2 linked regions of the Drosophila melanogaster genome follow. Changing the gene in region 1 together with any one later gene gives a genetic interaction. Each region holds a gene or a part of one and is shown on either strand. Other genes may lie near its edges.

Region 1 (5,381 bases):
GGACGATATCAGAATCCCTTCTCGCGTGGTCCCATCCTGAATTTACTCGAATTCTTTGTCTGCCTGCCGGACCGGGGCGATGACAACGATCTCCTGCTGGAGGATAACATTTGATTAAGGATCTAGGATCGAGCCCCTGCTCGCCGGCGCAAGCTGCCCGTGCGTGGATAATGTTGCGAGGAGGCAGCCAGAGACCCACTCGGGTAGGCTGCCAGTTTGGTTTTGCTCCGCAGGCTTACTGCTTACTCGAATGCTTTAAAGTTCGAACCAAAGGTCGTCAAGTGCGTGTTTTATCATTTACAATTGCAATCAACATATCCTTGCGGAAGGACAAATCGATAGCAAATTCCAAGTGCAATTCAGAGCATCAATAAATTACATTGCTAAGATTCCATTATTGTTAACGGCTCCAAATCAATTCCTTCCGCAATGGTGTTCAAAGCATCGGCCAGCCGTGCTTTTTGCTTTTTTTAACTAACTAATTACCTTTTAGGCTTGGATAAGAATACGCTTCTCTTGTTAGTTTTTGTACAAAATTGTTATGTATAAAATGTGTTATTTAATGATCTCTATATATTATATACCTATTATAATCATAAATGGTGTAAAGTTCACTAAATGGCTAGGCAGCGGTTAGTCACTTGGACGTGACCGTCACCAGTTTGTTCATTTTGTGTTCGGGGAATTGCACAAGTAATACTAGTAGAAGATCAGATCGGAGAATACGATTATGTTGTGTGTACACTTTGGCATGTATCTTGGGTGATGGGGGAGTCTAGAATGAATCGAATAATTCGTGAAGTAATTGTGCTCGTTATGCTTAGCTCTCAAAGCAAAAATCATAGTTTTCGGGATCCTCCGGTATTGGCGGTGGGTCCTTGCTGATGTCCACACCTTCCGTGTCCAGCAGGCGCAATTTGATCTCCATCGACAGCAGAGTGTCGAAGTCCTCGTTCTTTTGCTTGCTGACCATCGGTTGACCCAGCAGCGCGTTTATTCCATCCGTCCAGTAGTTGAATATGCTTTCGTCGGGTGCCACAAAGTCCAACGTAGAGTGCTCCATGTTTTCGAAGGTGATGGAAAAGGCCAGGTTTACCGCCGATTTCCGAATGCGAGTTTCCTTCATATGCGGGCATTCCTTGCCCTCTAGCAATTGCTTAATCTCACTGATGGGCAGTTTCTTGGGCAACTCCTCCATGGTGGGTATTGTCTTCTCGTCGCAATCTCCGTAATGAATCACCTTGTGATTCGGCGAAAGACGAGCGTACCAGAACTTGTCCTTTGTTCGAGTGCCTCGCAAGTATTTTGCAAAATGTGTACCTATAAGTGCAAGATTTATCCATGTTAAGATTGCCCTTGAAATGTATTTATTAGAAATTGTACCTTCCACCAGAAAAGAGAGCCGTTGCTGCTTGATTAGCTCAAGAATTTGCGGTGATATCTTCTCTTTGAGCTTAACAATCGCCGAAGCTGTGGAATCACACTCCTCCTTCGAAGTGCGCTCCTGCTGGCGCAGTGTTGTGATCTGCTGATAGGTCAACAAAGCGATCTTGTTTCGGAAATCGTCCAGGTTCTCGGGTCTGCCCTTTAGAGTGCGCTGGATCTGCTCCCGCACCACGCTGAAGGTTGTGCTGAAGTCCTCGGCAGTGGCACGCATATCCTTCCATGTGCGATTCAGCGTAATGACGCATATGCAAAAGAATTCCTCGAACGGCGAATCGTGCGTAAAGAACATGGGCTGAAAGTCACCGGATTGCTCGGCTGGTGGCTCGCCGATGCGAAGGATGTCACATAGCACCTTGACCAATTCGATGGAGGTGCGTCCGAAGGGACACTCGTGCTCATCCGCACGGCAGGAGTTCTCCCTGACGATCTTCGCATACTGTTGCGTGTAGTTGCGTGCAAAATACACCATGCAATCCAACGCTAATATACCTGAGAAATACGTTTCGGATTATCAACCAAAATAGCTTTAATATAAGAACATATTCTTACCCGGCGGCGTCTCAATGAAATCCTGGGCAGGGTTAATATCGCACTTGAAGCCCAGCTTTTTGTAGTACTGCGAGAAGTTGACATTGCCAGCTCCGGAGCCACCGCCACGACGGATGTGATCGTCGTTTTGATTCAAAGCGTTGGTATTATCGTCGAAGGCAATGCGCCGCAGCTCCTTGATCTTCTCGTGCGCGTCCTGGTCCTGCGCGTTCATCTTCATACGCATGCGCTTCTCCAACAGGCCGAGAGTCAACGTTTGCAGCACGTACAGCTGGTGGGTCATCTCTGTGCCCAGTCCATTGCCGATAAGGGCCAGGCGGAACTGCTTGGCACTAATAGTTTGAGCAATGGTCCTGCGGCGGCCCTCGTCTGCTTTGACGAACAGAGCGTTCAGCAGGGCTATGGCATTTTGTCGCATCACCGGCGAATTGACATCCTGAAGCAATCGGAGAATATCCTGCAGCTTGATGTCCTCGGCAACAAGCACATGTTTATTGCTGCACATAACAATGTTCTCCAAGTTGGACAGGGCGCTCTCACCACAGTTCGTAGGATATTTCTGAAAGTTTCGCACGATCTCAATGTTGCGGGCCACGAATGAGTTTTCCGGCACCTCCCAGGACACCGTGCCGTGCTCCATCAGCTCCACAAAGCTGGCCAGGCTGTATTTCAGAATGTCTTCGTTGGTCTGGCCGCCATCCTCAATCATCTTAATGAGTGTGTCGAGACCCTTCTCCTTGATGAACTCCAGGGCAAATGTGTGATCGGTGCTTAGGGAAGTGAGCTCCTTTAGACGCAGCGCCTTCTCCTGTGGACTGCCATTGAGCAGCACCTCCATGGCATCGCAGGCAGTCTTGGATGGCGAATACTGCAGCTGCAGTACGGAGCCATTCTTGATCTCATTGCGATTCTTTTCGGTCACGTACTTTCGGTTAGTGGGCTCGTAGAACTGGAGTGCATAGTTCTGGTGATCGCTGATGGACCAACCATTGCAAATTTCCTGGATTTTACCTGCAAGCGAAGGCGGCATTAATACGCTGTAAATAGCAACTTCCTGACCAATTGTATGATTTGCATATAAATGAGAAAGAGGAAATGAGTGCGCTGACATCACGATAACACTTAAACATAGCGAAGGGCGTTGGTTGGAAGTTCCTCCCTTATGATGGGTTCCTTTGCTACTTTCAACATAATTCTGGTTTATTAACTTCTTGGAACTTTGTTTTACATGTTTAAAGCAGATTCTCTTTAAAACTGCTGCTCAGCAAGCGAAAAATCTTTGTTTTTATCCGCTATTTACTCACTTGCCAGCGGATGCCTTTGATCCAGATTTATCAACTGCGCTATATGGTCCTCTCGCTCCACGGCTATTTTCACAATGTGTGAATCCTTAACCGTCGTCTTTTTTGGTATCATTTTGGCACTCTTTCAATTAGCGATAATTGCAATTATTATTGTTTTTCTGCGTAAACTTATATTCTTTTTTTTTTTAATTCAGTGCAGTGTGACCAATTGACAAGTAGTATGGAATATCACACAGCACACAACCGTTGCGTTTTGTGGCATAGGCAACACTGGGCGGGAAAATTATGTGGATTTGAAATAAATATTTTAATGATAACAGCGCAGAGTAATTTCCTAGCTAATAAATGTATTAAAGTGAAAATAAGCAAGCAAATATGTTGTATTTTGTTTTATTTTATCGTCAGCAATTTAATAAGTTCACCGACAACCTTTACATTAATACTATTTCCCAGCAGTCGATACTTTTGTCGATTCGTTGTTTCTGGCGGAAATTCAAAATTCTCCGGAAAACTCATTAGACGAGCAACTTCCCGTGGCGTGAAATAGCGCAGTCTCACCTGGTGCAACAGGTCCAAGCGTTGCTGCAAAATCTTCTCCGACTTCGATGCATCCTGATTACTTGTGTCAATTTCCTTGACCAACTCGAAGATGCGGTGGGATTCGTCCTCCGAAAGCGGTGTGTATGCAGAGCCCGTGCCCTCGGTGTAATGGGTGTAGCCCTTTGTAAAGCACATGGATCTACTTTGAGCAGGATGTATTATGTCCATGACCAGCACTCTTTTGGTCAAGACATCGTCGGGCACCAGGAAATCGGGTGATACATTTTCCTCCACAATCTCGGCAATTTGTGAAAGACCCTGATTCTGGGCTATAGCACCCGGCATTTCTTCCCAGATCTTTCCACCGGCAAATGGAAAGTCTGCACCCTTGCGGGCGATGCAATAGTAGCGATATCGAGTATTTGGCACATTGAATTGCGTTGGCGTTAGAATAAACTCCCGCCAATGGAATCCCGACCGCTCCAGCGATTCAATAAACTGATTTCGCGCCTGTGAGCTCTCGAAACCCTTGACGTTTTCCATGAGTATGTACTCCAGTTCCTGGCACTCTGGGATCAGTCCACACAGATGAGTAAGTGCATCCGATCGCTTGTCTTCCGTGTCCCTTTGCAATCCCTGGCGAGTGTGGGGCTGACATGGCGGGGACATCAGCAGCATGTTGGCCTGAAGCTTTGTGACTTCCTTTACACTCAGGCTTTGAATATTCCTAGTTTTCACCAAATTACTGCCGTAATTGTGCGCATAAACCGCATTGGCCACGGTGTTGACATCCAAGGCGGCAACTATTTGTCCATCCAATTGGGCATCTTCAAAAGTATATATTAGTTTCGCATGTATCATGATCGACGAACTCACAATTAAAGGCATAATGCATGCCGCCAATGCCACTAAATAGTTCTAAGACCCGAAATACCATTTTAATTAAATATATTTTTGTTTACAAACTACACGTTGTGAGTGGCACGTTTTCCAACACTGCCCCACACAGCAGATTGTCTGCGTTTCCGTGTGATTGGTATAAGAAGAAGAATATCAACACGTGCCGCTCGCATTTTTGTGAATTCGTGATTCTCTCGGAATAATGATAAAAATTAAGCGAAAAACAGCCCCTCCGCCCGTGGAACAGGACTCGGACAGCGATTCCAGCTTTGACGAGGAGGAGCCACAGGATTTGGAAGTCCAGGAGGGGCCAGTCACTGATAGCAGCGATGAAGAAGCCGCCTCCAGCAGCAAAAAAACGGCCAAACAAGGGGAAGCCAGTGAGGATTTAAAGGAAGAGGATGATGACGACGATGAGGAGGAGAATGACGACGACGACGAAGAAGAGGATGATGACGACGACGACGACAAGAAGACACGAATTCCTGTTTTGAATCCCCTCAGCTGGATGCGCAACAAGGAGCAGCGTTTGGCGTTGTACAAAAAAATGAAGAAGGAGAAGCACAAGAAAAAAATGCAGGAGCGCCGTGCCCGACGGAAGGCTGGTGTACCCGCCAATCCTGGTCACACCATAGAGAGCCT
Region 2 (4,758 bases), on another chromosome or scaffold:
AGGGTTGCTCCGCGGAATTGTCACCATTGTGCACGCGACTCACTGCGCAATTGAGGGCACAGCTACAGTCCGACCTCGCTGGATTGAACCTTTTGAAACTTAATAAAAGCTACCAATAATTTCCATTCAGTAGATTCAGTTAACACATTCAGAAGATGGTAATGGATTTTCCCATAGAATAGCTTTATAACCATACTACTAAAATTCCATATTAATATATATTATTTCCTTTATGTAGAGTTTATTAAACTATCCCTAAAGTTTATGAAAGAAATACTTTTCCCAAGTGCTTTCAGTTTCATGTGCGAACTCAATATACAAAAACTGAATGTAAACATGAGTAAAAGCCTGATACATTTGAAAAATGATTCGTCCCGTGACAGATGGTGGTTTCAGCTTTCAAGTTATTGATGTTCGACTGTATGTGCAGCAGGAGCGGTACAATAATTACTTATAGGGGAAGAAGCGCAGAACCAAGGGCTGCGGACAAAGAACGCGCTGGTAATGAAGTCATTGCCCAGCAGTTGCAGTTGGCCAGCACGTGGCGCTCCCAGATGAAAGGACAGAACGACAGGAGGAGGACAGTGGGCCGGGAACCAAGGAAGTAGGTCCAAAGTGTGCGCAAGGAGGCGGGACTGGGCATTGTGCAAGGTTAGGGCGTTGGCTTGCCAGCGCCTCGTATCGCTAATGATGCTAAACCAGCCTGGATCGCTGGATTGCCCGATGACTGACTGACTGATTGATTTGTGTAAACTCTGACCGCTCTCATGTCAATCTCTGCCGGGTTGAATGTGGAGCAAATGTCAGCGCACAGCAGCCAATAGCTGTCGCCACGATTGATGGCGAACTGGAGCGACTGGAGCACAAAAACGGAGCTGTAATGAAGAGTACTTGGATGGTACTGACGAAGACTGCATACCCTTTACCACCAAGATAGAAGCAATATAGAATGCCAAACTGATCAAGCAATATTTATTAATTTTATGGAAACATTTTAGGCATTACATCGTAGGACATATTCCCTTGGGTAGAGCATCCCATAAACAATGAATATTGGTGCTTATCTGGGCGAAGAAAACCCATTGAAGCGGCACAATGAATAAAACTTGGCACAGAGTCTGCCACTGAAGATGCTGTACGTAGTACATCGTCCGCAGCAAATCATCCGTTGTCGTTCGCTGGCTCTTTTATTTTATTTTGTTTTATTTTGTCTTATTTTATTTTGTTGACTACTTCCCTGCCCTGTCCCCGCAGTAATTTGTTAAGCGCTGCCATTGAAGCGAGAAGTGCGACGAATGCGAAGATAATGGAGCATCCCAGTCGAGGAGAAACCAAGACCAGCACATTGTGCTGCCCAAAGAATATCCAAGATTCACTTGTATTATTCGCATGTGTGTTATCACAACACGCAACTTGATTTTCCACGCCGGTTACACAGTGGTAACCGTTTAAATGTAGACTGTGGTGCAGGCAAAAATATATTTGCTGTTTATTTATTCTGCTTAAAGCTTGATAATAGATATAATATTATAGATATAATATATATATCAAGAGAAACCAGCAACATATTCCAAGTAAAATGTGTAACGAGAAAAATAAAGTCCATAGCAAGCAAGTTTCGATTCTTGAGATCTTAAATAGTTTTTACCATGTGCACTGAAGCGTTTTTCTTTCCCATTTCTATATTCTATCTACCGAGTAGGTTTTATATTAGCATACTAGGAAATATAATTAAGATGTAGTTATTTTCAGATCAGAATCAGAGAAACGTTTCAAATCAAAATCAACCATATGAACTTGGACAAATATATATTTTGTCTGCGAAATAAACATTTTTTTAGGTGTTCGTAATTACGAAAGCATTTAAATTGGCAACACCTGGGCTGGGGGGAAATTGGCAACGCGACAGCCGAGCGCTGTGCGGGAAAACTGAGCGCGCGGAAAACTGTGTGTATAAACACATCAAATCGCAGCGCAGCGGCAGCAACAACAAACAGGGAAATCTCTTTGAGATACACTACACGCTGCATGGAAAGGGGGGGGGGGCGGTGCGGTGAACTGGGGGATGATGATGCTACAAACAGTTTGTGTACAAAAATAAGTAGAAAAGTCGCTTTTCCTCCCCGCTCGGTAACGTGCGGGGGTGGTTGGCATGGTATCCGGCGTTTCGCGGAAAAACGCGTGAATCGCCGCAAAAGGCAGCAATAAAAACAAAGGCCGCGCACGTGACGCCCAGCGGGGGGTGGTGGGTAGCTTGGAAAAGTGGGTGGCACACCGCCTACTCTTATTATTTACTCACCAACTCCGTATTTGTTGTTCGAAGGTATCCACATTTTGTCGCTGCTGCTTCGCTGCAAGTTAAGCCGAAAAAATCCAACTTAGCCGGCCACTCCTTGCATTTATAATTAATCAACGGTTTTTTGAGGAAACACCCTTTTCATCGGCAAATATCTGCATTTGAATTCGCATTTATAACGGCCAATATTTATCAACAATTTTTCGCAATAGCACACATACACACTCGTACACATCTACGCACTCAATAAAACTTTCGCTTTTGTTGTTGTCTATCTCCTTCTCTTTCTCGCACTTTATCTTGTTTAATAACTACAACTACAAGCAGAAAATACACTTGCTACATTGTTGTTGTCGCTGGAAGGCAACGATCGCGGTTCCAATTGGCAATGATTACCGCTAGGTGGAAGAAAAGGAAGTGGCTGATTGGGAAGTCTGGAAGTGGTGGCTTTGCTTTTGTTGCCTTTTTCACGGACCCGCGCACACACAAACAAGAAAATCAATACGAATTTGGGACTCCCAGCCGAACTTCCAATTGGATTTCTACACTGTGCGCAATTTAAATTGCTTGTCCCTTGGCTTCGCGAATTATTACCGTTGTTTTCTGCTGCACTTGCAACGCGTTTAATTTTCGCTATTTTTTGCGTTTTATTATTTTTCGCGTTCTCCGCTGCGCAGCTTCCCGGGCGCAGCAACAACAAATATCCGTCCGCCGCTCAGCTGTTTGAAGAACAACAACAAAATTCGGGATTCGTCGGCTTATATACGTTGCAGTGTGGCCAGTTGCTAAGCGATGGATTATTTACTATTGCATTTTTGAGGGAATTTTCATTTTAGCGGTGACGGTCACACCGGTATTTATGGTCTAGCTAAGACCCGAACCAATTCGCAGTTACAGTTTTGGAGGCACATTCATTCAATGTATTCAATAATTTAACAAACAAAACAATACCAAATCCGTTTTAATATGCAGTCCATAGCGTTGGTCTGACTCGGCCCCATTAACTCTATCCCATTTTTTTTTAAATTTTTTCTTTTAAATTAACGGTGTACGTATTACTTAACCGAGATATATAATGAATAAAATATAAGCACTAAATCTTTAAGGTTAGAAAATAAATTGCAGTATAAATATATTACGAACGAAGTAAATATTCAAGCGATATATATGATCCCAAGATATCGCTACATTCTCCCATCCCTAGCAGCTATTTCTTGTTGGTTTTTCGAATTCTCGATATAACAGTCACACTGCTCGCCGCGGTTGGTCGCAATTTTTGTTGATAAGCGGACTCGGAATTTCGGCCGCGCTGCGTATTTGTTTTGTCGCGAAACAAGCCAAGAATCCAAATAGTGGCAATATCTGTGGGCAAACAAGTGATAAAGCGGGAAATGTGTCATCTGGTGGGCGAGGAAGCTGCCGAGAAATTGTGTTTTTAGTCAAGGTACGCCAATCGGAGAATCTCTGGGTTCGTGTGTGTGTGGGAGTATAGTCGCTGACTCTTCCAATTGGAATTGTTCTTTTTGGGCCTGACAATAAAACGCAGAATGTTTACTCAATAAATGCGCACCATATACAGCTGGCGAATACAAATGTGTTTAGCTCAACTTGGAGCATGAGATACTCTTTAGTAGTTTCCTGTTCTCCTGCCGATTCCTTTTACAGGAAAAATCAATAAAGGTCCCAATCAGAACGCGACTGCGCCCTAGTGTGGGTGTGCAAAGTGCGTGCATGTGTGTGTCTATGTGTGTGAGTGCTCCTTTATCAGTTGGAAAACGCAGTGTGTTTCGTTTGTTTCGTTGTTGTTGTTTTCGTTTTAGTTTTCCAACAGCTGCAAGTGATTGTGGCACGCCTAATTGATAACTATTTTCGAGCACTTCCATTCAACTTCACCTCAGCATAATTAATCACCGCATTAAGGAAAATACGTTAATATCGGCACGCTCGATTGTCTTACATGCCCACAAACATGGGAGAAAAGGAAAACACAATTCCACACTGCATGCGCTCGTATTTAGTTTCCCTTTTACTTTTCTACAATTTACATAATCATCATCTCGCGGCGGCAAAGACACAAAACAACCGGGCAGCAAAACAAAAGTGGCGTTCATTAAACCAGCTCATAAATGCACACACAGAAATCATAAGTACATACATATGTACATATGTACAGTAGTTAGTATGTAGTTTCATTATTTAATGTTTTTGCGTACATTTCCCTGTGGTTTGATGGCTCGCGGTGTCATCATCTTTACCGCTTTTCCTTCCCCCGCAAATCTTCCATTCTTTTTTCTTTGATAATTCTGCCGCGAATATTTCGTATGCAAAATGTGTGCCAAGCCAAAAAACCGCACAGTGGGTGGGATGGGGCGATGTGGTGGCAAAATTGGTTATTAGCTTAATGGGAATTCACTTATTGGAGAAATATTTTTTATTTTTGCTATTCCCTTCTAATTGTAATT

The links. Genes that interact genetically often act in the same process or in processes that back each other up.
Region 2: of Ced-12 (region 1) and spg, changing one enhances a phenotype caused by changing the other (phenotypic enhancement), as found in Drosophila melanogaster (one study listed by BioGRID).

What each region holds. Positions count from the first base shown.
Region 1 is NT_033779.5:12,095,981-12,101,361, reverse strand, and holds Ced-12 (Ced-12), read right to left. Parts: upstream 3,525-5,381; 5' UTR 3,412-3,524; coding exon 3,300-3,411; intron 3,007-3,299; coding exon 1,996-3,006; intron 1,936-1,995; coding exon 1,384-1,935; intron 1,321-1,383; coding exon 821-1,320; 3' UTR 523-820; downstream 1-522. Other genes in the region: patsas, read left to right, coding at 1-114; Mt2 (methyltransferase 2), read right to left, coding at 3,690-4,666, 4,716-4,776; CG6712 (uncharacterized protein), read left to right, coding at 4,942-5,381.
Region 2 is NT_033777.3:28,843,542-28,848,299, reverse strand, and holds the start of spg (sponge), read right to left. Parts: upstream 3,001-4,758; 5' UTR 2,334-3,000; coding exon 2,300-2,333; intron 1-2,299.